Linked DNA regions of Pelodiscus sinensis. The main gene of each other region encodes a partner of the protein of the gene in region 3 in a complex. Links are inferred from orthologs where the notes say so. Each region holds a gene or a part of one and is shown on either strand. Other genes may lie near its edges. The genes, in order: MED21, MED19, MED4 and CCNC.

Region 1 (7,358 bases), about 170 Mb from region 3:
TAAGAGTGTCTTGCTTTGGCTTAATGTAAACTGGTTCCCAATCAACCCAAGCTAACCGAAACCAAAAAACCACTCAAACTGAAATCACACAGAGGTTTGCACTGTAACAGTTTAAATTCACACCTTAGGCATGCAACTTTCTTGTACAGACAGGTCCTACATAAGTGTTTGGGAGATTGAAATCTTTGTCAGGAGGGATGGCGGTTTATTGTGATTTGTCTCTGCTCATGAGATTGTTAGCCAAATTCTACGTGCTAGGGCAACAAAATGATAAATCAAATTCGATACTGATTAATGCAAAGTAATTCACACTGGAAATCATAATCCCAATTATACATATAAAATGACAGGGTCTAAATTAGCTGTTACCACTTAAGAGTGAAATTTTGAGTCATTGTGAGTGGTTCTCTGAAAACATCCACTCAATGTGCAGCAGCAGTCAAAAAAATGAATAGAATATTGGGAAACATTAAGAAAGGGATAGATAATCGGCCAAAAATTCTTATTGCCTCTATATAAATACATATTGAATATTGCATGCAGATGTGGTTGTCCCATCTCAGAAAAGATATATTAGAATTGGAAAATGTTCAGAAAAAGGCAACAAAAATTATTAGAGGTATGGAACAGTTTCTGTATGAGAAGAGATTAATAAGACTGGAACTTTTCAGCTGGGAAAAGAGACCACTAAAGGGTTATACTATCATGAATGGTGTGGAGAAAGTATATAATGAAGTGTTATTTACTCCTTCTCATAACACAAGAATGATGAGTCACTAAATGAAATTAATAGCCAGTAGGTTTAAAATAAACAAAAGGGAGCATTTCTTCACACAACACACAATCAGCTTGTGGAATTCTTTACCAGAATTGTTGTGAAGGCTATAACTATGAAAGGGTTACAAAAGAACTAGATACAGTAATTATTTGCTTAACACGTGCCCGCTTAACACGTTTTCGCAATAGCACGATTTTTTTTAGGGAACATTTTTTGAATAATATGACCGTCCCCGAAATAACACGAAAATAATCAAGTGGGGACTACTTCGCGCGGTGGTATAAGTTGGTGAAAACAGTGATAATACACGAGCGGATGAATACACGTGGTCACAGTGCTCCTCCACTCACTCACATGTTTATCTTTATGTTTTAACAAACCACAGTGACTTGTGTTGCTAGATATCTAATGTTGACGTTGATGACTGAGCACCAACAAAAAATTGACTTTGCCACCACCACCTGAAATGCAACCCCCACCTTTTCCATCATTTTTAATGGGAAAATTGACCCCGCATAGCATGTTTTCGCTTAGCACAAACATTTTCAGAAACACATCTGTAGTGCTAAATGAGAAATTATGGTACAGTACATTCATGGAGGATACCTCCATCTATGGCTATTAGCCAGGTGTCCCTAGCCTCTGTTGTCAGAAGCTGCGCATGGATGACAGGGAATAGATTACTTGATTGCCTGTTCTGTTTATTGTCTCTAGCGTATCTAACATTGGCCATTCTTGGATGACAGCATACTGTGCTACATTAATTTTTGGTCATATCCAATATGATTATTCTATAGATTTGCATAACATCTTTTATATGTTAACTGACGTAAAATAAGAATCTCATCAGCATAGGCTTGCTTTTCCTAGAGTATCTTTTCTCAGAACTGATAGAATCATAGTCCAGTCCCCTTAAGTGAGGCAGGATTAAGTCTACCGACAGTACACTATTCTTGAGAAATGCTTTCTATGTATGCCATAAACAGAATGGCAGTTTGGATACTCTGGGCTGAAACTTACCATGCAAGATCTTAATGTTTCTGGTTGGTTCAAAATTTCTGATATTTATCTGTTCTCAGAATTGCAGAAGTTGATTTTAATCTCGTTTTACTCACAACTGATAAACAGTGTGGCTTGTGTTTTAGTTTTAACTTGACATTTCTCTTGCAAAAGAATTAAGTCATGCAAAAAAAGTGTTAAGTAACATACCTGGAATTTTAATAATACACATATATGTAGGGTCTTCAGTATTACTTTTAGACATAACATTTCTCCTTAGTCTCGGTTAGAAATGATAACTTTGCTTTTAAGGTACAGCACTTTTTTCTGCTACATGTTTTTGCATATAATCATCAGTGAGGACAGACTGTAAATTAAACAAGTTAGACAAGGTAACATGGAAGCAAACAAGGAGAGCCCTGCATGAATACAAAATTTGTATCTGCACTTGTATCCACAAAAATAAGTTGCAGATATCTGCATTGACATCTGTGTATGTGAAAACTCACAGTTAAAAAGTGGATAGCCACAGATTTGCAGAGTTCTAGACACAATTTTTTTATCCACATCCATATCTACACAAATGAGCTGTGAATATCTACAGATTTTCAGGGCTCTACAAACAAGGTCACTAGTTCTGGGCTGTACATCAAAACTCTCTAAGGATCTGATGTGACTCTAGAATCTTTCTGTGCAGTTGTGCATCACATTACTAGAAAGATATTGATAGTTTGAAGGGAGTTTAGAGAAGAAAATGATTGGAGAGCTGTTAGGATTGATTTATGAAGAAAAATATTGAAGCAATATTGCTTGAATTAAAGAGGATTTGTGACAGCAGTCTACAAATATTTGTAAATTCAAGGCTGGTAAAGAATTGTTTATAATAGTGCCAGGGAGTAAAAGTGGGAGTACTGAGAAGAAATTAAGATAGCTAAAATGTAAACTCAGTGTTGGAAACAGTTTCTTATTTAGTAAAATGTATAGGCCGTGGAATCATCTCCAAAGGAAAGAGGTGGAAACCACAGTACATGAGACCTCTGAAACTAAATATAAAAGTAATTATATAGTAGGAGACAATCTTTTGGGCCCTAATATGTCTCTTCCATCCCCAACTTTTAAGGGCTTGGGTAGACTTAAAATGCAACAGTTGTGTCACTGTAGACACTACCCACACCAATGGGGATTCTCCTATGGACAAAAGCAATCTACCTTCCAAACAAGCAGTACTAGTTTGATGAAAAAATGCTTTGGTAGTCCTAGCTGTGGCTACAGAGGGACTTTAAATGCCCTAATTATGTTGCTCAAGGGTGTGGATTTTTCACTACCCTAACCCATATGGATAAACCACCTTAACTTTCTAGTGTTGACTAGCTCTAAGATTCCATGCCTACATGCACAACTATGCTTTCAACAACATACTCAAGCAGCTTTGCCAATCCCAACAGCAAAAAATTGAGAGATTGCCTTTAAAATTGTGAGATTATTTTAACAATAATGAATGATTAGTGCTTTTTATTTGCCTTGTGCTTTCTTAGTAATTAGGGTACCACATGGGCACAGGCAACTTGTGGTAGCACCCATGAGGTGAAAATGTGATTGCTAAATGGAGTGCTCCCTCATGCCCTCTTCTTCTTCCTCTGACTGCCTTTCCCTGCACCCTCTCCCCTCACAGGCACAACTCACTTATTCCATGGGCATGTTTTTCAGTTTTTTTCTGGAAGTATGGAGAGTAGAAAAAAGAGCTGAGATTCTAGTATAGTCATTCTGCTTCCATCCTAGCTCAGGGCTGTTGCTTAAGCGGGGTGGGCCAAATGGTGTATCACAAAACATTACATTTGTCACTGAGAGGCTTAGGACCTGAGAATCTTGCTTGTGTCACACTCCTTGGCTGCGTCTAGACTGGCATGATTTTGCGGAAATACTTTTAACGGAAAAGTTTTTCCGTTAAAAGTATTTCTGCAAAAGCGCGTCTAGATTGCCACGGATGCTTTTGTGCAGAAAGTGCTTTTGCGCAAAAGCATCCGTGGTCAGTCTAGATGTTATTTTGCGCAAGAAAGCCCCAATCGCCATTTTCGCCATCGGGGCTTTTTTCCGCAAAACAGTTCTTTCCTGTCTACACTGGCCCTCTTGCACAAGTATTCTTGCGCAAAAGGGCTTTTTCCTGAGCGGGAGCGGGAAAGTATTTGTGCAAGAAGCACTAATTTTGTACATTACAAAGTCAGTGCTCTTGCGCAAATTCAAGTGGCCAGTGTAGACAGCTGGCAAGTTTTTGCCAGTCTAGACCCACCCACCTGCAAAAACATCTGGCAAGAAAAAGGTTTAATAATAAAGTGGGAGGAGGGGAGTGGATTTAAAACAATCCTGGGCCCCCCTTGTTTCTGTCCCTGTTTGTCCCAGGACGCTGGCCATTGCCCTGTACACTCAGCCCCCGCCCCCACCTAGCACTCACTGACAGCAATTACAACAATTTTTTGCATTGCCCAGTGGACGCCACCTTTGGCCTTTCCCTCCGCAGGGCGTCCCGTCAGCTGCCGCGGCTCCTCCCAGTCGGCAGGGGGCGAGCGACGATCGAGGCGTCCCCTGGGCCCGAGCCGCCCTTCGGACCCGAAAGAGAACCACGCACACACCGCGCTCGGGCTCTGTCCCATGGGCAGGCGGCGCTGGGAGCCGGGCGGCGGGGAGCGCAGGGGAGCATCATGGCGGATCGGCTCACGCAGCTTCAGGACGCGGTGAACTCGGTGAGGCGGGAGCTGGTGCGGGCCTGGGCGTCGCTCCCCGCATCTCCTCGGGCCGCTTCGCGAGCCTCTCCCCGCGGCTTGGAGGCGGGGGCGGGGTCACAAACCTGGGACTCGGGGGGGGGGGAGAGGACAATGGCGCCGATTTACAGTTAGGGAGGCCGTTGGGCTTTGAAGCGTTCTCGGCTGTTCTCGCGCCCCGCCCCCCGAAGCTCCGGAGGGGGAGGGGGCGGGCTGGCTTGTGTCTCGCGCCTCGCGCCTAGCTCTGTCCCTCAGCTGGGATCCGCTCCCCGCTTTAGAAGCGCCCCGCGCTGAGCTCGCGCCGCCCGGGAACTGACCTGTCCCAGCCCGCGCGCCAACGCTGAGCGCGCGCCGTCCACAGCGGGGGAGCTGGGCGCTGTTGCTGGCTGTGCCTGTGGCGAGGCCGCTTGTTGAGGGAGACGCTCCCAGAGGCCCTTTGCCTCGGTGCGCTCTTCAAGTCGGTCTCTCGGCTCACTCTTGGAATGGCTGGTATGGGGCTAAAAGGAGGCCGCCGTGGGGAATGCATCTATGTATCTACTCTGCCTCGGTGGTAGGTGCTGGTGAGAGGACACTGCTCCCCCCACCGCCATCACTGATTACAATAATTTCCCCACTTAATTTCACCAGTAAAAGGCTGGGCAGCGTCTGCCCATGTGGCTGAGGAAAAGGGCGAAAACATTTTATCTCTGCAGCAGCCGACAGAGATTATGATTTAGGAACCAAATGTATGTCCTGGACTTGAGTGTACTGATGTTAGCATCTTAGTTAGTCACTGATCCTGCCAGTTGATCTATGAAGTAGGGATGTCATCATGTAGACCACTCCACAATTAACCACTGAACCTATGCTTATCGTTTAAATCTTGTTGATTACACGCATCCTCCCCCTTGCTGCCTCTGTGTCAGAGACAGCAAGGTGGGGACGAAGCTGGTGCCCATGTCCATGATGAGCTCACTTACCTGAACAAAAATAGGTAATCATCAAGTGAGCCCTCTCCTGTCATCCATTTCCAGACTTTGACAACCAGAGGTTAGGAATACCATTGTTATCCATTTTGGCTAATAAGTATTGATGGACCTAATCTCCATAAATTTATCTAGTTCTTTTTTGAGCTCTGTTAAAGTCTTGGTCTTCACAACATCTTCCTGCAAGGAGTTCCACAGGTTGACTGCTGCATGAAGAAAATCTTCCTTTTGTTTGTTTTAAATCTGCTACCTATTAACTTCATTTGGTGACCCTAGTTCTTATGTTATAGTCAGAAGTAAATAACTTATTCACTTTCTTCATACCTCTTGTGATTTTATAGACCTCTATCATAGTCTCCCTTATTCTCCTATTTTATAAATTGATAAATCACAGTCTTTTTAATCTCTTTTCATATGGCACCCATTCCAACCCCCACCCCCGGTAATCATTTTTGGTGACCCTTTGTGACCCTTTTCCAATGCCAATATACCTTTTGAAGCTCTTCACGGTCTGCATTGTTCTTAACTATCTTGAAAAATTTCAGTATCCTCTGCAAATTTTGCCATCTCACTATTTACCCCTTTTTCCAGATCATTTATAAGTAGGTTAAATAGGATTGGTCCCAGGACAGACCCTTGGTGAACACCACTAGTTGCCTCTCTCCAGTCTAAAAACTGACCATTTCTTCCTACTCTTTGTTTCCTGTTTTTTAACCAGTTACCACTCCACGAGAGGACCTTCCTTCTTTTCCCAAGACAACTAACTCTTAACCCATGGCAAAGAACTCTAGTAGATCAGTAAGGTATTATTTCCCTTTACCAAAACCATGTTGACCTTTTCCCAACAAGTTATATTCATTTGTGTGTCTGACAAGTCTATTCTTTACTATAGTTTCAACTAATTTGCCTGGTACTGACATCAGACTTCTCGGTCTGCAATTGCCAGGATTACCTCTACAGCCTTTTTTAAATATTGGTGTCACATTAGCTATCTTCCAGTCATTGGGTACAGAAGCTGATTTAAAGAATAGGTTACAAACCACAGTTAATATTTCTGCAGTTTCACATTTGACTTCTTACAGAGCTCTTGGGTGAATGTCATCTGGTCCCCTTGACTTGTTACTGATACATTTATCAGTTTGTTCCAAAACCTCCTCTAATGACACCTCAATCTGGAACAGTTCTTGAGATTTGCCACCTAAAAAGAATCACTCAGGTTTGGGACTCTCTCTATCATCCTCAGCCATGAAGACCAAAGCAAAGAATTAATTTAGTTTCTCCGCAATGACCTTATCATCTTTGAGTGCTCCTTTAGCATCTTGATCGTCCAGTGGCCACACTGGTTGTTTAGCAAACTTCCTGCTTCTGATGTGCTTAAACATTTTTTGATATTGCTCTTTGAGTTTTTGGCTAGCTGTTTGTTCTTCAAACTCCTTTTTGGCTTTCTTCTTATATTTTTACATTTGATTTGACAGAGTTCATGCGCCTTTCTGTTTTCTTAACTAGGATTTAACTTCCACTTTTAAAAGGATGCCTTTTTATCTCTCACTGCTTCTTTTACTTGGTTGTTAAGCCATGGTGTCCCTTTTTTGGTTCTCTTACGATGTTTTTTTTAATTTGGGGGATACATTTAAGTTGGTCAGCAGTACGGAATGTCAGGGGACTCCCTGGGAGTGGGGCAGGGAGCACACTGGCTGCTGGCCCTGCCCCAGGGACTATCAAATAGTCATGTACCCACTAAGATTTCATGTGGTTGTACCACTATTCAGTTAGGCTACGTCTATACTGGCGGCTTCTTGCGCAAGAACAGCTGTTCTTGCGCAGAAACTTGCTGGGCGTCTACGCTGCATGTGCATTCTT
Region 2 (7,895 bases), on a different chromosome or scaffold from region 3:
CCTCAGGTACCAGGAGAGCCACGGCCCAGCCCTGCCAGCCCAGTGCCTCCTCCCTGGGGTCCCAGTGTGGCCTGAAGTCAGGGTAGCGATGAGCAACTTAGGGTCAAGCAGGTCCCCAAGCCACAGCAGCCCACAGTAATGTTGGCCGGGAGGGTTGAGGGGCAGGCGATACTCACATCGATGGTTTTATCGCTGAAGTACTTGATATACTCTGGTCCCAGGTACAGGGGCGGCTTGCAGGTCATCAGGAACACTGAAAGGAGACGCACACAGGCTGTGACTGGCTGCACTTTGGAGGTTTGCACACAGATTGGAGGAGAGGGGGCAGGGAGACCCAGCAGGCACAGAAGTCAGACATTTGGTTTCCAGGACTAGGTCGCTTGCTCTGTGGCTTTGTGAGAGGTTTTATCCAGCTCTCCCACACTGGATTCTTGGCTCAGCAAGCGTGGGAGGAAGCAGCCGACACGATCTGGTCCCGCAGAACACTCTCCTAAGCACGTTAGGGAAACGTGACCTACGGGAAGTTGTCAGAAGGTGGGCAAACAGCTGGTTGAAAGAGCGCACCAAGAGCGGTTGCCAATGGTTTGCGGCCCAAGGCCATAACTAGTGGGAACAGCATTCAATACCGTCACCAATGCCTTGGACACGGAGGAGAGCGTGTGCTTAGAAGATCTGGGGTTGAGGGGCTGCCCAGATGGTGGGAGGTTAGAACTTAAAATGAGTTTGACAGATTGGAGAACTGGTCTGACTTCAACAAGCTGAAAGCCAATGAAGACAAGCGCTAGAGGCAGGAAGGAATGAAATCGGATGCAGGGCTACCCAGTGGGGAACTGGCTAGTAGGCAGTGCTCCTAGAAAGGGTCCAGGGCTTCCTGTGGACCGCAATGGGAACAGGAGCCAACAAAGGGAAAAAGGCTAATGTGGCCCTGGGGTGCAAGTGGCTGGGGCCAGGGAATGAAGATGACAAGCAAAGAGAGGGGTGAAGCAAGAGAATGGTCTTAGCAGCAGCAGTTTGCACCGCCCAGTTGCAGAGGCAGGGGCAGTTACCCCGCTCTGGGGCAGGGGAGCATGCACTCGGACAGTGCAGCAGAAAGGAGCTTGAGCCCTTCCTCCCCGTGAAGTGATAGGGCCCGTACCAGCCTAAAAGGGTGCTGCATTTAAAAAGCCAATTGACGGTGGAGAGTCAGCACTCTGAGAGCCCCAGCCCTGAAATACATAAGGAAGCTCAAAGACTGCATCCCTAACCCAAGATGGGGCATGAGGAGTTCAGCCTGTCGTCTAGGGCAGGGGCTTTCAAACTCTGGGTCACAGCTTCTCAGGGCAAGCTGCTAGCTGGCTGAGACACATTTTTTTAAAAAATCTGCACCTCCCCAGGACAGTCCATCGCAGCTCCAGTTGGCTGGCCAATGGGAGCAGTGGGAAGCGGTGTGGACTGCAACCAATGGGAGCTGTGCGCAGGTACACAAAGCATCATGCAGCCAACTAGTGCCAGAGTTTGAAAGCCCCTGGTCTAGGGAGGAGTCATTTTGCTGGGGGAGGGGACGACTACTTAGCACCATGGGGCACGTGAGCAAAATCCAAGCAAGCACAATGGTGTTTCAGTAAGAACCCTTTCTCCCACCCTGCGTCTGGCTGGTCTAGTTGGATGGGCAGCTCCTCAGGGCAGGGACCTTCCCCACTCTGCATGGGCTCTATGGAGCAACTGACTGGGTTGGGGTGTAGCGAGCGTACAGCACAGACTTGATTCCCTTCGGAGCCAGCCACGTGGCCCCACAGCAGCACCTCACCTATGCACAGCGTCAGGTAGAGCAGCCCCATCCGCACATCCAGCCGGAAGAAGAGGATCGCATTGGCCACTTTACTGAACATGAAGATGTTCCCCACGTGCTGATCCACGGTGACTGGGGAGAGAGGAAGTGGGGGAGGTCAACCCCAGACTAACACCCTAGTTCAGGGCAAAGCTGAGGTGCACGTGGAATAGACCAGGGCATTGCACCTCACGACCCAGCACCTTCTCCTCTCAGTCCAACACAGACTGCCCCACTTCCTGTACCTGCCCCCCGCACTGACGCTGCCATCCCAAAGTCTCTTCCTAAGAACAGCAATATTGGGTCAGGCCAAGGGCCCATCTAGCCCAGTGTCCTGTCTTCTGACAGAGGCCAATGCCAGGTGCCCCAGCAGGAGAGAGCAAAACAAGGAATCATCAAGTGATCCCTGCCCTGTCACCAATTTCCTTTGACAAACAGAGGCTAGGGGCACCATCCCTGCCCATCCTGGCTAACAGACACTGATCGACCTAACCTCCATGAGTTTATCTAGGTTTTTTTTAACCCTTTTAAAGTCCTGGTCTTCACCACACCCTCTGGCAAGGAGTTCCATAAGTTGACTGTGCCTTGTGTGAAGAAAAACTTCCTTTTGTTTGTTTTACACCTGCTACCTCTTAATTTCATTTGGTGACCCCATGTTCATGTATTACAGGAAAACGTAAATAACTCATCATGCCAGCTTTGAGGTCCAGCTGCTCTAGGACCTCCCTGATCTTGCCACATGCCTCCTCAGCCAGACCCCCTCCAGCCCTCCTCCCTACGCCAGAGTCCTTCCTGGGGTCCGACACGGAGTCCAAGCGTGCCCACCAAAGCAGCCCTTGGAATGCCGCCCCCATCTCCGCCCCCGGAACAGTCCCGCGGAGGCATGGGGGCGGGGGAACAGGACTCACTGGATCTGCGGTTCTTCATCATCACGATGGCACTAAGGAACATGAGGATCTCCACCTCCCGCTGAAAGAAATGGGGGGGGGGGCAGAGTCAGCCCGGCTCAGATTGGGGCGCCCAGCCCAGCCAACGAAGCACCAGGGAGGGAGCCGGAGCCCCCAGAGTGGAAGCCCCACGTGGAACCAGCCAGGGGACTGGGACAGCTGGACATAGCATGGGGGGAGGCAGGGGGGCTCGGGACTCACCCAGTCGAAGTCGCGGGGGGGGGGGGGAGGCAGGGGGGCTCGGGACTCACCCAGTCGAAGTCGCGGGGGGGGGGAGGCAGGGGGGCTCGGGACTCACCCAGTCGAAGTCGCAGGGGGGGGGGGGAGGCAGGGGGGCTCGGGACTCACCCAGTCGAAGTCGCAGGGGGGGGGGGGGGAGGCAGGGGGGCTCGGGACTCACCCAGTCGAAGTCGCAGGGGGGGGAGGCAGGGGGGCTCGGGACTCACCCAGTCGAAGTCGCAGGGGGGGAGGCAGGGGGGGCTCGGGACTCACCCAGTCGAAGTCGCAGGGGGGGGGAGGCAGGGGGGCTCGGGACTCACCCAGTCGAAGTCGCAGGGGGGGAGGCAGGGGGGCTCGGGACTCACCCAGTCGAAGTCGCAGGGGGGGGGGAGGCAGGGGGGCTCGGGACTCACCCAGTCGAAGTCGCAGGGGGGGGGGAGGCAGGGGGGCTCGGGACTCACCCAGTCGAAGTCGCAGGGGGGGGGGAGGCAGGGGGGCTCGGGACTCACCCAGTCGAAGTCGCAGGGGGGGGGGAGGCAGGGGGGCTCGGGACTCACCCAGTCGAAGTCGCAGGGGGGGGGGAGGCAGGGGGGCTCGGGACTCACCCAGTCGAAGTCGCAGGGGGGGGGGAGGCAGGGGGGCTCGGGACTCACCCAGTCGAAGTCGCAGGGGGGGGAGGCAGGGGGGCTCGGGACTCACCCAGTCGAAGTCGCAGGGGGGGGGGCAGGGGGGCTCGGGACTCACCCAGTCGAAGTCGCGGGGGGGGGGAGGCAGGGGGGCTCGGGACTCACCCAGTCGAAGTCGCGGGGGGGGGGAGGGAGGCAGGGGGGCTCGGGACTCACCCAGTCGAAGTCGCAGGGGGGGGGAGGCAGGGGGGCTCGGGACTCACCCAGTCGAAGTCGCAGGGGGGGGGAGGCAGGGGGGCTCGGGACTCACCCAGTCGAAGTCGCAGGGGGGGGGAGGCAGGGGGGCTCGGGACTCACCCAGTCGAAGTCGCAGGGGGGGGGAGGCAGGGGGGCTCGGGACTCACCCAGTCGAAGTCGCAGGGGGGGAGGCAGGGGGGCTCGGGACTCACCCAGTCGAAGTCGCAGGGGGGGAGGCAGGGGGGCTCGGGACTCACCCAGTCGAAGTCGCAGGGGGGGGAGGCAGGGGGGCTCGGGACTCACCCAGTCGAAGTCGCAGGGGGGGGGGAGGCAGGGGGGCTCGGGACTCACCCAGTCGAAGTCGCAGGGGGGGGGAGGCAGGGGGGCTCGGGACTCACCCAGTCGAAGTCGCAGGGGTTCCCATCCTCGCGCTGGGTGGGCAGCCCCTGGCAGAGCGGCGGCACTTTGCGCACCAGCAGGAAGGCGGCGGAGAGCAGCGCCGAGAGCGGGTAATAGGGCCGCGCCAGCCAGCGGCACAGCCCAGGCACCGAGTAGAACAGCGCCAGCAGCGGGGCTAGCACCGCCATCTTCACCTCCACTGAGCAGCCCCGCACCGCCGGGACGACCGCGCACGCTCCACCGATCCCTATTGGCTAATCTTAATGCCAATCGTGATGAGGACAGGAACTGTAAGAAAGACCCATTCTCATTGGTTGATACCGCTGCCCCTCAAAATTAGACACATCCAATTGGCTAAATGGATTTCAAGGGGGCCTGCCTTTGTAGAGCGAGGGACTAATCAGATATCGGAATTTGGAATGACGTAAAGGCCAGACCTGATTGTCATCACAGTGCGCATGGGAGAAAACCAATCACGTCAGGCAGAGGAATGTAGCATTTTTGTCCAATCAGAGATAAACAGTGGGCGGAGTTCAAAATAGATGGGCCAATCACAGCCATAGATAGGACAGGCCGCCCTCCAATGAGGACAAGGCAGACTGTCAACTCCTCGAGGAGCCGAGCCAATGGGAGGAGAACGCGCGGGGCATGCTGGGACGATGGAGCCTTTCTCTGCTCTCTTCGGAGGGGCTGAGCCGCCGCCTCCTGCCGCGGCCGCCGCGCTGGGCTTCGGGCCGGGGAAGCCGGGCGGTCCCGGCGCCGGCCCGCCACCCACAGCCGCCGCGCCCCAGAGCGCAGAGGACGCCGCCCGCAAGGCCGCGGCTGCCAGCGGCCCCTTCTACCTAATGCGGGAACTCCCAGGTACCGAGTGCAGGGGGCGGGACTTTGCGGACTTTGGCCAATCGAGTTCAGGGGGCGGCCTTTAGGGGTCTGGCCAATCGGATTGCTCAGATTTCTGATTGGCCTCTCTCCCCGCCTATTAATGGCTGGGCCTGTTTTCTCCAGCCCAATAGGCGAAACAGACGGTCTGGTGGAGGCGGGGCTGAAGAGGTTTTTTGGATTGTCAGCCCTTTCCTCCAATGGGGAAGTCGGAAACCTATGGGGGAGGCAGTGTGTATGAATGACTGGATTGGCAGTTCTGGGAGCCAATCATGATGCAAGAAGATGTTTGGGGGGGGAATATGGGTGCTCGTAGCCAATGGAGACGGGGGGGGAGGGGAGAGAGAGCCTGCTCCCAACTGGGTCTGCATGAGCCATTTCCCAGACTCTTGTGCTGCCCCAGGAACAGTGCTGCCCCAGGGCGGTGGGGGGTGCCCAGGGGAGGGAGGCAGACGTCTGTGGGATGGGGGAGGCTGCTCCCACCCAAGGCCCTGGCTGCTCATGTAGGATCCCCAGGGGCTGGGCCACAGTCCAGCTCTGATGCGGTTAATGGGGCTAAATCCCGTTTCCTTCCCCTGTTGCCAGGCAGCCACGTGAGTCTCCAGCCCGTGGTGCGGCGCTGCCGTGTCCCAGCCGCTCTGGTTAGCGGAGGGGCTCTGCCCCTGCTCTTGAGCAGGCCGGGCTGAGGTCTGCTGCACCTGTAGCCCAGTGCACTGCAGATAGTAATGAAGTCTCCCCACTGTGCTGAGCCAGGCAAGGGCCAGCCCAAGCTTGCTGCTGGAGACAGCTTAAACTAATATGCTGAAGGCCAGAGGGGAAGCCAGTGGCAGAGCTGGGAGGGGAAGTCAGGAGCCCAGGCTCCCAGGCCTGTTCACAGAGTGCCCAACCACATGGCCTTGAGCAAATGTACAACCTGGCTCCCCTGGTCCCTGCTCAGGCAACATGGAATTGACGGGCAGCACGAACCTGATCACACACTACAACCTGGAACACTCCTACAACAAGTTCTGCGGCAAGAAGGTGAAGGAGAAGCTGAGCAACTTCCTGCCTGACCTGCCAGGAATGATCGATTTACCAGGTTCGCACGACAACAGCAGCCTGCGCTCCCTTATCGAGAAACCACCCATCTGCAGCAGCTCCTTTAACCCCATCACTGGCACCATGCTGACTGGCTTCCGCCTGCATACCGGCCCGGTGAGCTTCCTCCTAAGCTATAGGAAGTGGGAGGGTAGTTTTGGGGTGGGAGTCAGGACAGGGGGGACTCTGTTTGGGCTGGGTGAGATGAGGCAGAGGGGTCTGTGGAGAAAACAAAAAATCCTTGCTGATTAACCAAGGAACATGTAGTGGTGGGAGAATTTCTCCAAAGATCATCTCCCTCCCCATCTACCCTAATTTTTCTCTCTACCAGTTGCCAGAACAGTGTCGCTTGATGCACATCCAGCCACCCAAGAAGAAAAATAAGCACAAGCACAAGCAGAGCCGCACACAGGATCCTGTTCCCCCAGGTAAAAACTGCCTTCCACAAATCTATCAGTCCCCTCTCTGAGAGAGAGCAGCACCCACCAAATCTTTTCCAGACCCCAGTAAAATCATAGGTCAACCATCTGCCATCTCCAAGAGGGGCTCACTCAAAGGGAGATCTTGGCTTTCTTTGCAGAAACCCCTTCAGATTCCGACCACAAGAAGAAGAAGAAGAAAAAGGAGGAGGATCCTGAGAGGAAGAGGAAGAAGAAGGAGAAGAAAAAGAAGAAGGTAAGTGACTACAAGGGGGAAGAACTTGTGGTTCACTTCCCCATCAGCAGTCAGTGCTCCCAGTCCATGCTTACCTTACCGGGGAGGGAGAGGGCTTGAAATGTATCTGATCCTCTCCTGGTTACCTCCATGCTCTGGAGTCTCTGTCTTAATATAAAGGCCCGGGAGAGTAGGGGTTTGGATGCTGCTGGTCCCACCTAGAGTAGGCAGGCAGAAAAATAAGCTTTTTCCCACCCAAAAAGAGGGAGGGGGGAGGGAGAGAGAGAGAGAGAGACTCCTTCAAGAGGGTAGGGCCCTGTGTCTGTGTGTGACCCCTTCCTGGGGAGTGGAGAATGGGAGGGGTGTAGTTATTTAGAATTCAAGACTCAAAAGATTTTTGATTTAAGAAATGCTGGTGTGGTGGCTTTGGATGCTACAATTCAGTTGCCTCATGCCCCCTCTTGCATAGAACAGGCTCCCTGGTTTGTCTATATCTCCCAGGACATGCCACTTTCCCACTCCATGAGAGTCCCTGGCCATGGTGCACCGTGGGCGCTGGAGCCTGGCCCAGAGAGGAACGGAGACCCTAAGCATCTGTATTACAGCTCTGATGAGACACCAGGGCTGCATTTGCAGATTGAAATATCTGGGGGTTTGGTAGGAAACTGATGTGTCCTGTTGAAACCACATGCTGTTGGGGGGACGCCTGGGAATGCTCTTTGGGGCAGTGTAAAACAGGCCAAAAGTTCTGAGTCTTCATTCCCCCTGCTCCGATTGGTCCCCGGGCTGAGGAATCCTGTCCTGACTCAGTCCCTTATTGCCACTGTGAATCCTCATGGGGTTGTCTGTCTGACTCAGAACCGGCACAGCCCCGAGCACCCAGGCGTGGGCAGCTCTCAAGCGAGCAGCAGCAGCAGTCTGCGGTGAGGTGCCGACTCAGCATGGCACTGGGAGTGCTCTATGGAGATGCCCATCACCAACATGCGGGGGAGAGCGGCGCTGGAGGCAACATCAGGAACAACCCTGGAGCGCCTCGCGGGGGGCCCCGTG
Region 3 (7,217 bases):
TTACCTTGCTCATGAGCATTTCACATTCATTTTATCAATCAGTGGCTGATTTCAAACTCTATTTTCCCTATTTGCCATCAATCTGTATTTGAATTTCACACAGTTCCCAACAGATAGAATCTGAATAGATCCAATTTTTGTCTTTGTATTGTTTTCAAGAATCACTGTGCTCCAGTGATAAAGTTGAAACATAATTTGGATAGTATTTTTTAAAATAAATTAAATTGGATTTAGATTTTTTTTTTAAAGAATGTGAATTGCTCTTTACATTTTAGAACTATCTTTATAGAACCTAATTATTACCTGATCTTGGTAGGAACAATTTTTAGACTTTTAGTATAATTATTTAATAAAGCGTAATAGGCAACAGTTAAAATTAAGCAGCCTGTCAATTTCTGTATAACATAAAGGCTCTGATCCTAAAATCTGTTCCATGTTGGCAGACCCTTATTTCCATAAATTGTGATACTGACAGCATGGGTTTCACATGGATACTAGTATATGCCCCCACAGATGACAGAATCCAGACCACGTGACTTTAAATAAATTTAGGCAGAAAGTGAACAAGTTCTGTCTTAATAAGGGATGTTAAAAATTGTGTAGAACAGTAACTGTGTATCCGCTAAAAATCTTAGCAGTGACACAGTTAGTTAAATATGCTGCAGGCCCTGCAATATAAAGCTTAGCTTTATACTACAGAGCCTGCATCAAAACCTCCCCAGGAGCGGAGTGGGTAGCTCTTGCCTGCCTGGCTGCTGGGGCAGAGGTTTTGCTGCCCTGCTGTATCAGCTAATTGATTCAACTCTATCATTTCTAGTCTTAATAACAGAAAGTACCTTTGACTTGAGGGCTACGTCTACACTGGCATGATTTTCCGGAAATGCTTTTAACGGAAACGTTTTCCGTTAAAAGCATTTTTGGAAAAGCACGTCTAGATTGGCAGGCCGCTTTTCTGCAAAAGCACTTTTTGCAGAAAAGCGTCCATGGCCAATCTAGACGTGCTTTTCCGCAAAAAAATCTCTGCTGTCTACACTGGCTCTTTTGCGCAAAAGTTTTTCGGAAAAAGACTTTTGCCCGAACAGGAGCAGCATAGTATTTCTGCAAAAGCACTGACAATCTTACATGAGATCGTCAGTGCTTTTGCGGAAATTCAAGCGGCCAGTGTAGACAGCTGGCAAGTTTTTCCGCAAAAGCAGATGATTTTGCGGAAAAACTTGCCAGTCTAGACACGGCCGAGGTGTTTGCCAAGTTATTTTAAAACAATTATCTCAAGTCAAATTTTGCCCCGGATTTAGGTTTTATAAAAGCAAGCAACCTGAGGCCAAAATAAAATATTGATTAAATAAAAAATGGAAAGCTTGGTTTTATAGAACATTCCCTGTAACACTTGCATTCCAAAACATGGCAGTCTGAAAAGAAACTGACTAAAACCAAAGTGAAACTGATCAGTGCATTTTCCCAGCCATAGCCCCAGAAATTGAGATAAATACAAAAAGTATTCCATATAAATAGGAAAATACATTCGTTTATCAACTTAACTTGAAAAGGTAATCTATAGAGAGCCCCTGCTTCTCTGGAAGGAAAAAGACTATGCCAAAGGACACCAGTTGCACCTTGGATATCAGCACAGTAACTTTCACTGAATAATTAATGTGGGGAAATTTCTGTGGCATGTGGATAGAAGTGAAATAAAGAATGCCAAGCATATGTGGGTGATTAAATGGAGGAAAGGGTTACTGAGGATCAGTTTCAAAATGTATTTCATTATGTACTCTAGGGGACCCTTTAGTGTGCACTTGCTGGGTCTCTATATAGACCAATTAATGTGCACACTACCTCCAACTAATAGGCCACAGAAAGGCAATACAGAACAAGGCACAGTTGTATTTTGAACACTTATCAGTATTTTGGCAAGGATCAATAAAATAGACAAGATTTTTAAAAATGCTTGTCCTATCCCTGCCTGTTGTTTACTTACACTGTAAGTGCTAAACTTAAAAAACAACAAATGGTCTGGTAGCACTTTATAGACTAACAAAACATGTAGATGGTATCATGAGCTTTCCTGGGCACAGCCCACTTCCTTAGTTGACGGGAGTTTTGTAGGTAAGTGCTGTAGATCAAATAGACGTCTTAGATGTCTATAGTAATATATGCAACCGACGTTTCAATGGTTCATTTTAAGTTACCTACTTTACTAGCCACTAGACTAAAAAACAGCGCCTTTATTACAAATCCCGCCCACCCCCCGAGTAATGCTTTTGAGGTTGGTTTCTCGGACGTCCAGGGACAGTTCTGAGCCGACCTGATTGCAAGCCGACAGAGAACGGTGCATGTCAGTTTCCACACAGGGAGGAGTTAAAGCAGCGCTCACGGCAAGGCCATGCCCGGCAGGGAAAGGGATTTCGGTAAGTTACTCGCACCCTTTCTCCGGCTTCCCGAATCGGACCGCTAGCGGCCGGGCCCCCGTTCTCGGGGCTGAGCCCCCATCCCTAGGGCACCTCGCCCCGCCCCGGCGGGGTCCCACCTGGCCAGGGGCCTCTCGGCGCTGCCTCGCTAGACAGGAACCGCCGGGTCCCGGCCGCGGCGGCGCGAGTGAGGCCGAGCCGAGCCCGGCCGGGGGCGCGCGGCTACCTGGCCAGCAGCTCCAGATCCTCCAGCGCCGCCAGCAGCCTGTCCCGCGTGCTGCTCCGCTCCCCGCCCGCCGCCATCGCCGCGCCCGAGCAGCAGCCCGCCCCTGCAGCGGCCCGCGGACGCAACGCCAAGGGCCGGCGACAGCGGCATCCGGCGGCGGAGGTCTGAAGCGCAGCCCCCTGCGGAGCCTGTGCCCGCGCCTGGGGCCGGAGACAGCAGAGCCGGCCTGGGCGGCAGCAGGAGCTCCACAGACTCCGCCTGAGGCGCGGGCCCCGCTTTGCAGCTGTCTCAGCAGGCCCAGAGAGAGAAGCAAATTCCTGCTGAGGGACCATTGGTTTGGGGTCGGCCTCCCAGTGCGCAGGGCCCAGCACCTGCCAGGCAAGGCTCTGTGTCCACCTGTTCAAAAAGTGCCTTTCCAGCCCTGGCGGTTGCACAGAACAGCGGGACACCAAGGCTTGGCGGACAGTGGAGGCTTGTGCCAGGCCTGGGCTGTGCCACAGAGTTAGCTGCCTTGCATGCCCCTGGGCATGCCCCTGTCTGTGCTCACACCTGTGTAAGTGCCCCATTATGACAGTGTAGTAACACCTAGAACCAGGGTTAACCTATTGAGGCTGCTACAGCAGGAGTAGCGAGACTCTGTCAACCTAACAGTCATCCAGAAGCTAGTCCACTATGTCCCACCCTCTCCCTGCAATAGTGTCCACTCTGATCACAACTTTAAATTCCACTGCACAGGAGACACAGAGATCAAAGCCACCATCTGCCTATCTCAGTGGTGGGCAACCTGCAGCCCACAGGCCACATTTGGCCCACTGGGGTTACACTTCTGGCCTATGCAACTGTGGGAGAAAAATCAAATAACTCCAACTGTGTCTAAGGAGGGATTGTGCAGGAAATCAAAAGTCTCTAAAAGAAAACTGCTGTAAGGGTTAAAAGTTTTCCAGGCCTCTCTCCCTGTAACAGAGAGAAATCATCTTAACTTTAATCAAGACCCTTACAATGCCTCCTATCTCAACTTCATGAAGACTCCTAGTCTGTCACAATTTGTCATGTAAACTCTTATCTTTGTCACAGTTTGCCTTGTAGCTCCTCACTCAGGTTATCATATGCTTTTGTACTGTAAAACTTACTTCTAGCACTTCTGGTGAGAACAGAGTACTTCTGCTGAGACTTTGATATGTTAAAGGAAATAATCAACAACTAAACTGTCTGAACATACTGTATAAAGGATCCCTGAAACTCTCAGGGCTGCTGCTACTCTCACTCCGGTAGCTGTCAGCCTGCATGCATGCATAATAAAGTTTTCCTTCAAGATTTCTCTCCTGCCTCACTGTTTTGACCTCCAGCCTCGACCCTTCTGCGGACTCTGTACCCCAGGGGAGCGAGATTTCCCCAACACAACCCATGTTTGCCCCTCTCCACACAAGTGCTTCTTGTGCACTGGGGGCATTGGAGCCCCACATTTCTTTCTCCTTCCCCGCCCTCACAATACTTTTGGAATGCCACAAATCTTCTGATTTGTGCTCCATCACCACTTCTCCCACTTCCTCCCAGAGCTTGAACATGTGAAACAGCTGTTCAGTTGGATCACTTGATAATTATCTGTTCTGTTCATTCCCTCTGGGGAATGTGACACTGGCCACTGTCAGAAGATAGGATACTGGGCTAGATGGACCTTTGTTCTTAAAGATACGTGTAGACCTCCAGGATCCCAAAATAGCTAACCCGTGTCTTTTAAATGTGCCTATTATTTGAAAAAAATGAACACGCTATTCCAACATCCCTGTAACCCTCATTGCATGGATGTTTCAAAATAGCATGTTATTTCGAAATTTGGCACTGTGTAGACATGCCAAATTTCAAAATAAGGTACACAATTTTCATAGCGCAAATTGCATATCTTATTTCGAGTTCAGGGTGCTGTGTAGATGCACTCTAAGGCTACGTCTACATTGGCCCCTTTTCCGAAAGGGGCATGCTAATTTTACAGGTCGTAATAGGGAAATCCGCGGGGGATTTAAATATCCGCCGCGGCATTTAAATAAAAATGTCCGCCGCTTTTTTCCGGCTTTTAGAAAAGCCGGAAAAGAGCGTCTACACTGGCCCCGATCCTCCGGAAAAAAGCCCTTTTCCGGAGGATCTCTTATTCCTACTTCAAAGTAGGAATAAGAGATCCTCCAGAAAAGGGCTTTTTTCCGGAGGATCGGGGCCAGTGTAGACGCTCTTTTCCGGCTTTTCTAAAAGCCGGAAAAAAGCGGCGGACATTTTTATTTAAATGCCGCGGCGGATATTTAAATCCCCCGCGGATTTCCCTATTACGACCTGTAAAATTAGCATGCCCCTTTCGGAAAAGGGGCCAATGTAGACGTAGCCTAAATGTCCTGCAGCCACTGGTTACAATGTGATCCTTAAAGTCATTGCTCATTTCTTGGGCTTAGAAGTGGTGCTCTGACATTTGCAGCTACTCTATGAACCTCAGCATCAATCTAAAGTTGTTTTCCCACTGTTTCTTAGCACATTGGTTCTCAACCTTTCCAGACTACCATACCTCTTTCAAGAGTCTGATTTTGTCTTGTGTGCCCCCTCACTTAAAAATTGCTTGCTTACAAAATCAGATATAAAAATGTAAGTGTCATAGCACACTGTTACTGAAAAATTGCTGACTTTCTCGTTTTGTCTGTATGACATTTTAATTTGTACTGACTTTGCTAGTGCTTTTTATGTAACCTATTGTCAAAGGCAAATACCTTTGTGTCGATGTATCTCCGGGGTATATGTACCCCTGACTGAAAACCACTGTTTGGCAAACTGTCCTCAAAGAAATTATATATATTATACTTTCTGCAGGTCTGCAAATCCAAGAAAATAGTGCATCATATATTTGTAATGTGCATAAAAAGAGTGTAGGTTCCATGTTCTGTCAAAAATGGTAGATACCAAAAAAGTGTCACATGGATTTGTGGGTTTAAAAAAAAAAGGTGAAAATCATGGAATATGGATGGCATTATAGGATGGAGAAAGTTATGCGCTGGGAATATGACCTCTAGCTCCCAGAGGTCCGTGGGTGAGTTGTTTCTATTCTACAGCGCATTGCAAACATTTCAACACAAGACATCGTGCCAGACAGATGTCCATGACACACCGCAAGATGTCCATGACCTTACCCATTGTGCCACTGAACTTTGTGTCAGCACAAGCACTCCAGGTGAATACATGCAGCATTTGACACAAGCAATCAAGTACACACCAGCACAAAGGATATACAAACTTTGTCAGTTGTATGCCAATGGAACTTGGGTCAGCCAAAGTTTGTAATGTAGATATGACCTCAAAAACAAGAAATCAAAGGAAAAGAATCCACAATATTTTAACAATCTCATCATTTTTAAGCCCGTCGTCTGGCTGTTTGATGCCTGACTCATGATTTTTGAACACTTAGGGTTGGCAATATTGAGGATGCGGTGTAAAACCACAGAAACTGTCAGGAAGAGTAGGGGCAGCACTTAGAATTACTTTTACCTTAATGTTTTAAATTTGACTAGCTTTCAAGTTGATGGTTTGAACAACTGAAAATGGATATACAGTTATGGACTCCATCATGCACCTTACTCCTGCGCAAAACCCTGGGCAAATCAATGGGATTCTCCACAAGTGCAGAGGTCTGACCATTTAGATCAGATTGCAGAGTAATTAGATACAGAACATGGTTCTAATCCTGAGGACAATCAAACCACATTTTGATAACTTTAAAAGTATTAAATTACAGTAGATGACCGTGATGCTGCATATCATGCAGACAGATTTCTGGGGCCTGTATGAAGCCCCCCTTAAGTTAATATGGTTACTATGTACCTAGAACAATTATTGCAAACAGACCTGGAGACAGAAGCCACAGGGTGGGTGTGAAGTAGAGAGAAACAGAGATGCTAGGGAAGAAGGTCTCTGGGTACTAGAATATTATTCTTTACAGCACATGGAATTAAAACCAGAAGTCCTCAGTCTGTCCATTGCTCTGCTGTCAGCAAATATGAAACTCACTAGCAACATGGCTGTGTCTAGACTGGCAAGTTTTTCCGCAAAAGCAGTTGCTTTTGCGGAATAACTTGCCAGCTGTCTACACTGGCTGCTTGAATTTCCGCAAGAACACTGACGATCTCATGTAAGAAATCAGTGCTTCTTGCGGAAATACTATGCTGCTCCTTGTCCAAGACGGAACATCAGAAATGGCTGCCCGTCACAGGGAGCCATAGCCTGTAATACCTCTGAAGCTGGTATAGGGGGCTCTGTCTGTGAGGTGGAGTGTTTTCCAAATAAGGGCATGTAAATTAATAATCTTCCCCTGCTCGCTCCACCCATTGCAGTAAAAGATCAGCCAATGGGCTGACTGGTGCTCAGGCCTGCTACTCCACCCACTGCAGCAAAAACCAACCTATGGGGTGATAAGTTCACAGGCAATAAAACAGGCAGGCAGCCCCTCTCTCACTGGGGATTCGCATTGAGTGAACGCCTGGCCTGATCACCCAGACGCCTTGCACCCCCCACTCTCGAGTCTTACTGAGTGTACTCCGAGTTGGTCGACCCGA
Region 4 (7,943 bases), on a different chromosome or scaffold from region 3:
ATGTTTATCACCTTGCAGGATCAAGTCCTAAATAATTCCACTTCTTAAGTCTCTACATAGAAATTTCCTTTTTTTTTTTTTTTTTTGCCCTTCCTATCTTTACAGAAACATCTTGAAAATAAGAAGGAAGCCTATTAAAATTTCATACGATAACTAAGAAATACATGTACAGCTAGTTTATCTTTAAAACCCTCTGTACAACAAAGAGGACAGCTAATCTGGATAATATTTAAAAGACGGTTACTTTAAGTTACATGTTAAATATGTGGAGAGAATGTATATAAATGTTAATGAGAAAATTATTTATTCTAACCAACTGAAATATGGATTCAGACATGGGTAAATACAGTGTGGGTTAAACAGCAGAGTCAAAGATAAAAATGATTACCATTAGTAAAGAAAATCTGCAATTTCCAATATTCTTCTTCTGTCAGAAATTTCAAGTCCTTTTGGCGTTCCTTCAACAGATCTTGCTTATCCAAAATCCATTGTAAACTGGAGAGGGAAAGCAATTTAAAAAAAACTATGCCCAAACATTATGCAATGTCTTCAACTCCATTAGATTGCAGATTACATTTGTGGGAAACCAAGTTGATAGTGTCCCTTTAATCAAGTCTTGCAATAAGAGAGTCATGCTTGTGAAATAAATTTTCATTAGGGTCATTACAGTCAGCTTTGGGGAAAAAACAAAAAGTAAGAGGATTTATTTTAATTTTGTTGCTGAAAACTTTATACAACTGATAAACTATCACTTATTTATGTTTTATTCTATATTTTTCAAATATGAGTTTTTAAAATTCTGTATACTCAGAACTGAACTGCTCTGCAGTCTTCATTCTTGTATAATAATGAAATATGGTAACACTTCATTCTTGACTACTTTATGTACAGGGCTCGCCAAGCGGCAGCAAGTCCCATTCGCCAGCTGCGTGATTTTGTGCTGTTCTGCGTTCTGCGCATGTGCAGATCGCTTTGCACATGTGCAGATCGCTCTGCGCTGGCTCTTCTGGGTTGTAATCTACTCGCCACGGGCAAGTAGATTACATTATTTGTCGAGCCCTGTTTATGTATTTAGTTTAACTTTTGATTTCTCTCTCTCTCTTCTTGGTTCAGTTTATTATTCGACATTGAGTATTTATACAGCCATTCCTTGAGCATTTGCGGCTTTTCTACTGCACTCCCAATATACAACTGCTTAAAAGTGTTAATAAGATGGGATGCTACAATTAGCTTTTTTAATCAGTTTGCAACATTATTACTCAGATGCTTCATACAAATATTTACACATGTACTTCATTTGTGAGAGTCTAATTCTGAGATGGGTAATAATTTTGATGGGGGGGCACTCCAAGATTTTTGTAAGTGGTCAAGGACTGTACTTTTCTATGGAGGAGATGCAGAGCCTGAGATGGAGGTTGGGTGCAGAAGGGAGCTCAGTGTAGGGGATTGGGGTGCAGGAGAGGGTGAGGAGTCTGAAAGGGAGTTTGAGTGAAGAAGGGGGTTGTGATCTGGGGCAGTGTATTGGAGTACAGTATCCAGGAGGGGGTATTTGCACAAGAATAGATTTTGACCTGGGGAAGGGGCATAGAAGGGGATGCAGGGTCTGGGAGAGAGTTGTGACCTGGGATGGAGAGGTGCAGAAAGTTTATGTGGTGATCTGGGGCAGGGAGCTGGGGAGTGGGAGATAGTGGGGTGCCAGAGGCAGACTCCAGCCGGTAGACACTTACCTTAGGTGGCTCCTGGCCAGCGGCCCAACAGGGATGCCTGCCACAGCCCCAGGCTGCCCCAAACAGCCTCCATGTACTGCTCTGTACCATGCACTCCACCTGGGGAGTAGAGACTTTGCACTCTGTTCCTGTCGCAGGCCAATCATCGCAGTTCCCATTATCTAGAACTAGCCAATGGGAGCTGATGATTTGCATGAAGGCAGGGGCAACATGCAAAGTCTTCCCCCGTCAGAGGTGGGCAGCACCTAAAGTAATTTTGAGCAGCCTTGGGCTACGTATAAATCTAGAAAGTTCACCTATGTATACCTACATTGGAGTGAGATGGAAAATTAGGCATTTATTGGTAAATAATTGTTGTGCATTTGAGCATCTCCATTTATTATAATCAGGGTAGCCAAGTGAGTAACGAACAAAATAGAAGAGAAAGGAAATAGCTAAACTGCAGTTGTCATGAAAATTGCTACTAAGCCAAAAAAAGTATTAGCTGTTTTAAATATGTAGACATAAATATACTCTAACTCCTAAAGTAAATCAGATAGGTTTTTATTTTATTATTTATAAATATTTGCATTTAAGTCATTTTAATTAACAATAAATTATCAATTATAACTCCCTATGGATCCTATTTTAAATGGTCATATCCCTGTTTTTGCCAAAAGACATTCCTCTCCCATCACACTATTCTTCCTTCTGTCACAAGTTTTAGTGTCACACTCTGGATTTCCTTCTCAATTGCTTGGAGAATTTTTTTTTTTTTCATTTTGTTTTGTCTGTTAAAAAACCCACATTCTCTGGCTCACAATTTGGATGTGCCAAAACCGTGGAGAGGGGAGAAACAGTCATTTCTATTAGGATTCATAAATGATTGTCATTGTCCACTCCTCCAACCCCACTTTACAGCTTTCCACGTTAGTTTAATAAGTTTTCTATGGCCTTCGCTTTAAAACAAATAATGCAGTGGAAACGGGAGGAGGGGGAGAATCCGAAGCGAACTTGAATTGCACGAGCAATTCACCGGGTTAAAGAGCGCCTGGATGGGTGTAAAAGCCCGGGCCACCCGGCCGTGGTCTCCACAGCCCCTAGCCCAGCTGGCTGGCCAGTGGCCACCCCGACAGCCGGGCACCGCCTCCGCCCGGCCCCGCACCCCTCCTGCCGCAGCAGGCGCCCCAGGGCAGCCCCGCGCCGCCAGGGGCCACTCACTAGTGCGAGCTCTGCCAGAAGTTCCCTGCCATGGAGAGGGGCGCGGAGGCGGCTGCTCTGTGTCACGCTACCGAGGACCCCGCCGCTCAGCCCGGCAGCAGGAGGAGGAAGGAGGCGGCGGGAGCCCGGCGGTGTCCTGGCTCCGCCGACCGGCGGCGCACACTGCCGAGCGCGCCAGTTCCCGCGCAGGCGGGTTCCGCCTGGAAACAACCCCGCCGCCGCCGGGCCAGGCAGAGTCACCGGCAGGAGGGAGGCGGCGGGGACGGCTGAAGAGCGCGGGGGAGGGACAGAAATTCAGCGGAGCCCTGGTGCACACCGCGTGCTGGCCGGGCTCGGGGGGCTGCGGGGCGCTGCAGGCTGGGGCTGCACCTTGCACCGGCTGCTTCTGCTTTCTCTCTGCTGCACCTTGTATCCTTCCCCCGATTTCTAAGAGCAGACGGGCTAAGGCAAAGATTCCCTGCAGCCACCTGAATGGAGTGGTAGGACTGGAAGGGGCCTCCAGAGGTCATCTCATCCCGGCACTCACGGCAGGACTACGGATTATAGATCAATCCTTGGCAGCTCTTAGTCTACTAGCGGTTAAAAATCTCCAGTGCTGGAGACAGATACCTCAACCTCCCTGGATAATTTGTTCCAGTGCTTAACCGAACTGAACATAAGTTTTTCCTAATGCCCAACCTCAATCACTCTCGGTGCAAATTCAGCCCATTGCTTTTTGTTCTGTCCTTAAAGGTTAAGGAGAACATTTTCCCCCTCCCGTCTCCTTGTAACAGCCTTTAATGCACTTTCAGGCATACGTTCACTTTCTAATTGCACTCAGGTTACTATCTGTAAACCAGGCAATATATATATATATATATATATATATATATATATATATGGCAAGCAAGGGCTTGTATTTTGTTGCAAATTCTATTTCTTTTCTTACATCATCATCCATTCCTCCCACTCTAGTTGCCTCTTTAGCCCACCTGTTGTAGCCATCGGATACCTAATGTCTGACAGGACAGGAATTATGCAGTGTTATTGTAGCCCTCAAGCGTTTGAAACACATAGAGCTGTGCTTCAGGATGGGAACTGCCTTTTTCCCCCCAGCTTCAGGTGGTAGCCGAGTTAGTCTATACCAGATTATTAGTTGTTTTTTCTCCCCTCCCCCCAATTTGCCTACATAGTGCCTTGCTTAATGGGACAAGCAACAATAAAAGTAGACACGGTGTTTAACTTTCAGGATTGTGATGCATATAGCTCATTATAGGTACTATTACAAACAAATAAGAATAATAATTAGCTTTCTAGCTAGCATCCAGTATCAAGATATCGTGACAGTGATCCATAGATGTCAGAAGTGGCTTTTTTCTTTCAGCTTCACTAAGTGGCACACATTACAAACCATACAAAATACTGATTGAAAAAATTGTTTTCTTTACAAGCAACTCACATATCTAGCCACGTGGGTCTAATTTCACGTTCAGGGCCATAATTTCCAGATTACATCCAAGAAAATTTGTGGTGATCAGTTCTGGTTTGAGTAAATTTGATATAAGTAAATTGGGAGGGGTTGGGTTTTTTGGCAGATTTTGTTTGTTTGGAAGGGTGTCAAATTGTTGTTGATTGTGAACCTAAGATAATACTGTAACAATTATTACAGGTATTTTCATATATCATTCTAATTTTGGTTATATGCAAGAAGTATTAATTTGTCTACAAAGTGGCTGACTGCTATTTTGTACTGTTGTTAACACCAAAAAAAATCAATTCTTTAAATTTTACCTAAAAGTAGTACCATAAACATTAAAGTTTATGGTGCATCATCTACATATACAATAAAACTATTTCACCCCAGCATGTACCTTTCAGGAAATTGATTTTCTGACATATCACGTTGTTATTTTTATTATTTTATGTGTTACCATAAGATCTAGCAACTGTCATCATGGATCAGGACCCCATTGTGTTAGGTGCAGTACAAAAACAGAACAGAAAGAAGCCCCAAAAAGTTTACAATCAAATTATAAGACAATATGCTAGGATATACACTTTTAAAACACAAAATAGTACATGGTAGACATTATACCTCAAAAGAAAAATCAAATAAATCAAATTTTAAAGATAGATTAGATTAGATTAGATTAGATTAAATAGTGTGGGTTTTGCATAAGAAATCAAAGGTGGATAATAGATAATAAGCAGGAAAACTTTTCCAGGGTACTAACAAAATTAAGGGGGCAGGTTTTGACTCAAGCTATGGCTCTTTAAATTAATTTAGTGGTAAAAAGTGGCCACTAAACTGCTCTTAGCAGGCATCTGATTATTTCACCACCATAGCTGGCTAACCACTACTCCCTCCTGGTTCCCTAACAATGGTTGTAGACTAGGGATGTAAAATCCTGTTTAATTGGTTAAACAGGTAAATGCACTGCTGCCATTGTTTTAACTGTTTAACTAATTAAAGGGAGTGTGGTCAGAGGGGCTCTAGTCCTTCTGAAGTGCCCCTTCCCCCGACTGACTGGGCTCAGGCTAGAACAGCCCCTGCCACAGGCAAGGGTCCTCCAGCCTAGCTGCTTTCTGCCCCCATATGTGGGCTGCTGCTGAGATTTCCGGCCACCATGTAGGTGTCCCTGCTGTAACGCCTGCCCCGCCCACATGGGGGAGGGCTCGACAGGGCTGAAGCAGCCCTCTGCCCATGGCTGGGCTACAAGCAGGGGGACTGCTCCTGGGTACAGATTAACCGTTATCTGGTAAGCATCCACCATTAAGATAATGGTTTAACCAACTACCTGTTAACATCCCTAGTGTGGACATGCTGGATCCTTTCTAGAGAGTGCTGCTCTTCAGAGATCTCAGACCTACAAACCCTTGGGAGCCATTAAAAGCCAGTGGCAATTACAGTCTTGGGAGCCCTGGAAATTAAGCAAGCTCAATGCTAAGTCTTTTGCACTTTCTCTCTACTCAGCTGCTTTGAACAGAGCTCTGGTGCAACTAAATGTCTAGTCAGTATGTACAATAATGGGATAGGTTTGGAAGGCAGCATTATAATTTACTGCAAAAGAAATATAAAACAAATGGCATTATGCTGTGTCTGTACCTTGAACTTCTCAAGAAAGCAGCAAATAGCACAGAATGCAGAAAAATAAGTGCTGTGTTAAAGCACTTGAAGTAGAAAACAGCATCTGATGAAGAAATGTGAGAGTATTACCCATCACATATTGATTTACTTATTTTGTTTAATTGATTGCAGTATAATTCTTGTTAAGAAACTGAGTGATACTCAAAGTCAAATGAGAGACTGTTCCCCCATGTCTGTATTATTTTTTTTGGTTGTTTAGGACTTGATTATTTGCCCTTCCATGGCCAATCTTATCAGGCTCTACATCCATTTCTCCAAGTAAATGCACAGCAGTTATCACTCTGGTGTCTGATTGTCTACTGCACAGGTAATGTTTCCGTTATAACTGGTTCATAGTCATCAATGCTTCTGTTAACCCATGATCCTCCTTTGCAAAGAGATTCTGTAAAAATGGCAGGGCCGTAACAAAGGCGAGGCAAGTGAGGCACTTGCCTCAGGCGCATAGCTGAGAGGGAGCAGAAAAGACAGCTACTATGCTGTCTTCACTCGTGCCTCGTGCCACATCAGCACCCCTGCCCTGTGAAAGGAAGGTGTTGAGGCCTACTCAGAATATGTCAAATGAGCACCAGTTTAATTGTAAGTGTAAAGGAAAGGCAGCATTGTGAGATATAGGAGTTGTAAGATGAAAAAACCAAAATTTGATTGGATGACCAACAGTAACCCCGCTTTTAGACTGCAATATGCAACTCAGACTGCAATATGCAACAAAGTGCTAATTACCCCAAATGGAGCAGACGAAAGTTTTGAAAGGGCAGAATGAGACAACAAAAATCTAACGTCAGCAATTGTCAGGCGAGTGGAGGAATACTGAAATACCGAAACAGGGTATATAAGGTTGGACGGAACAGACCAAGAGTGGATGAGTTGCGAATCCAAAAAAGCTAGGTCTGATCAACCAGGGCTCCCTTCCGGGTGCTGAATCTCGCTGGCACACATAAGCTCCAAAAGAGGAACAACACCAATAAGTTGCAACGAAAAAATCCAAAAAAGGAAAGACATAATGAAAAGAATATCTCTTGAATCTAAACAATGCTTCTATCTTTCTTTACGTGAGTATTATATATTTAACTCCATAAATTGTTTAAAGGTAAATCTGGAGGGTATATCTGTAGGAGGAGTTATTATTTCTTGTTTTTTAACTATGCTGTTTTTCTACTTTTTATTTGTATATTACACTGTCTTAAAAGAATCAAAGATAGTGAATTGACTTAAATGGAAAATTAATTATAAAGTAAATAGAAAAATAAAAATATTTGTTTGACCCTAAAAAGAAATATTCCCCTGTCTGTGGTTTCAAATCCTTTAAAGAACCAAACCTGGTTACCGAAACGCCCATGCCAAGGACGGTTTTGCCTCAGGCACCAAACTAGCTAGTTGCAACTCTGAAAAATGGCATTGTCGTGGTCTATATTTATTGTCTCTCAATAACTCCCAGATTCTGGGACTTTTCTTAGTTATACTAAGGCTCTTGAATGCTGCTCTGGCAATTAAAAAGGGTATTTTAAAAGTATAGACACAACCTGTGATGAATGGAAGAGGTAACACATTTTCTGGACATTCCAGTCATTCAATTAGGTAATATATTTTCGCAGTAGTGGTTAACTCTTTAAACCTAAACCTAATTGACCTGTGGGCAAGGGTTAAAACCGTAGACCGTATGTCTTAGAGAGTCCCCAGGCATGCTAGGGAAGCAGGAAGTAAGTTGTCAGGAAGCCAGGAGAGCCAATGGAAAGAAATTATGTGCTTTTGAAATGAAAGCCGTGATCTTCCTGTTCTTGTTGTGTGACTCGAGAAGAGCCTGGAATACAGGAATTAAGCCAGGAAACCAAGCATGGCGAATTCAGTAACATCCTAAGGAAGGACTAAATCTTGGAACTACAGTTATGTGA

Evidence for each region.
Region 1: MED4 (region 3) and MED21 share a complex: the UniProt entries of both Homo sapiens proteins name them as parts of the mediator complex. The link is inferred for Pelodiscus sinensis from reciprocal best matches to the Homo sapiens genes MED4 and MED21.
Region 2: MED4 (region 3) and MED19 share a complex: the UniProt entries of both Homo sapiens proteins name them as parts of the mediator complex. The link is inferred for Pelodiscus sinensis from reciprocal best matches to the Homo sapiens genes MED4 and MED19.
Region 4: MED4 (region 3) and CCNC share a complex: the UniProt entries of both Homo sapiens proteins name them as parts of the mediator complex. The link is inferred for Pelodiscus sinensis from reciprocal best matches to the Homo sapiens genes MED4 and CCNC.

What each region holds. Positions count from the first base shown.
Region 1 is NC_134711.1:119,852,263-119,859,620, forward strand, and holds the start of MED21 (mediator of RNA polymerase II transcription subunit 21), read left to right. Parts: upstream 1-4,288; 5' UTR 4,289-4,473; coding exon 4,474-4,515; intron 4,516-4,660; exon of another isoform or gene 4,661-5,053; coding exon of another isoform or gene 5,054-5,083; intron 5,084-7,358. UniProt on the Homo sapiens protein: Component of the Mediator complex, a coactivator involved in the regulated transcription of nearly all RNA polymerase II-dependent genes.
Region 2 is NC_134714.1:128,612,782-128,620,676, reverse strand, and holds the start of MED19 (mediator of RNA polymerase II transcription subunit 19), read left to right. Parts: upstream 1-4,768; 5' UTR 4,769-4,861; coding exon 4,862-5,096; intron 5,097-6,051; coding exon 6,052-6,308; intron 6,309-6,522; coding exon 6,523-6,619; intron 6,620-6,771; coding exon 6,772-6,866; intron 6,867-7,703; coding exon 7,704-7,772; 3' UTR 7,773-7,895. Other genes in the region: TMX2 (thioredoxin-related transmembrane protein 2), read right to left, coding at 177-253, 1,787-1,900, 2,716-2,776, 4,235-4,423. UniProt on the Homo sapiens protein: Component of the Mediator complex, a coactivator involved in the regulated transcription of nearly all RNA polymerase II-dependent genes.
Region 3 is NC_134711.1:288,753,831-288,761,047, forward strand, and holds the start of MED4 (mediator of RNA polymerase II transcription subunit 4), read right to left. Parts: upstream 3,118-7,217; 5' UTR 2,967-3,117; coding exon 2,635-2,966; intron 1-2,634. UniProt on the Homo sapiens protein: Component of the Mediator complex, a coactivator involved in the regulated transcription of nearly all RNA polymerase II-dependent genes.
Region 4 is NC_134713.1:70,571,481-70,579,423, forward strand, and holds the start of CCNC (cyclin-C), read right to left. Parts: upstream 3,141-7,943; 5' UTR 2,960-3,140; coding exon 2,928-2,959; intron 496-2,927; coding exon 389-495; intron 1-388. UniProt on the Homo sapiens protein: Component of the Mediator complex, a coactivator involved in regulated gene transcription of nearly all RNA polymerase II-dependent genes.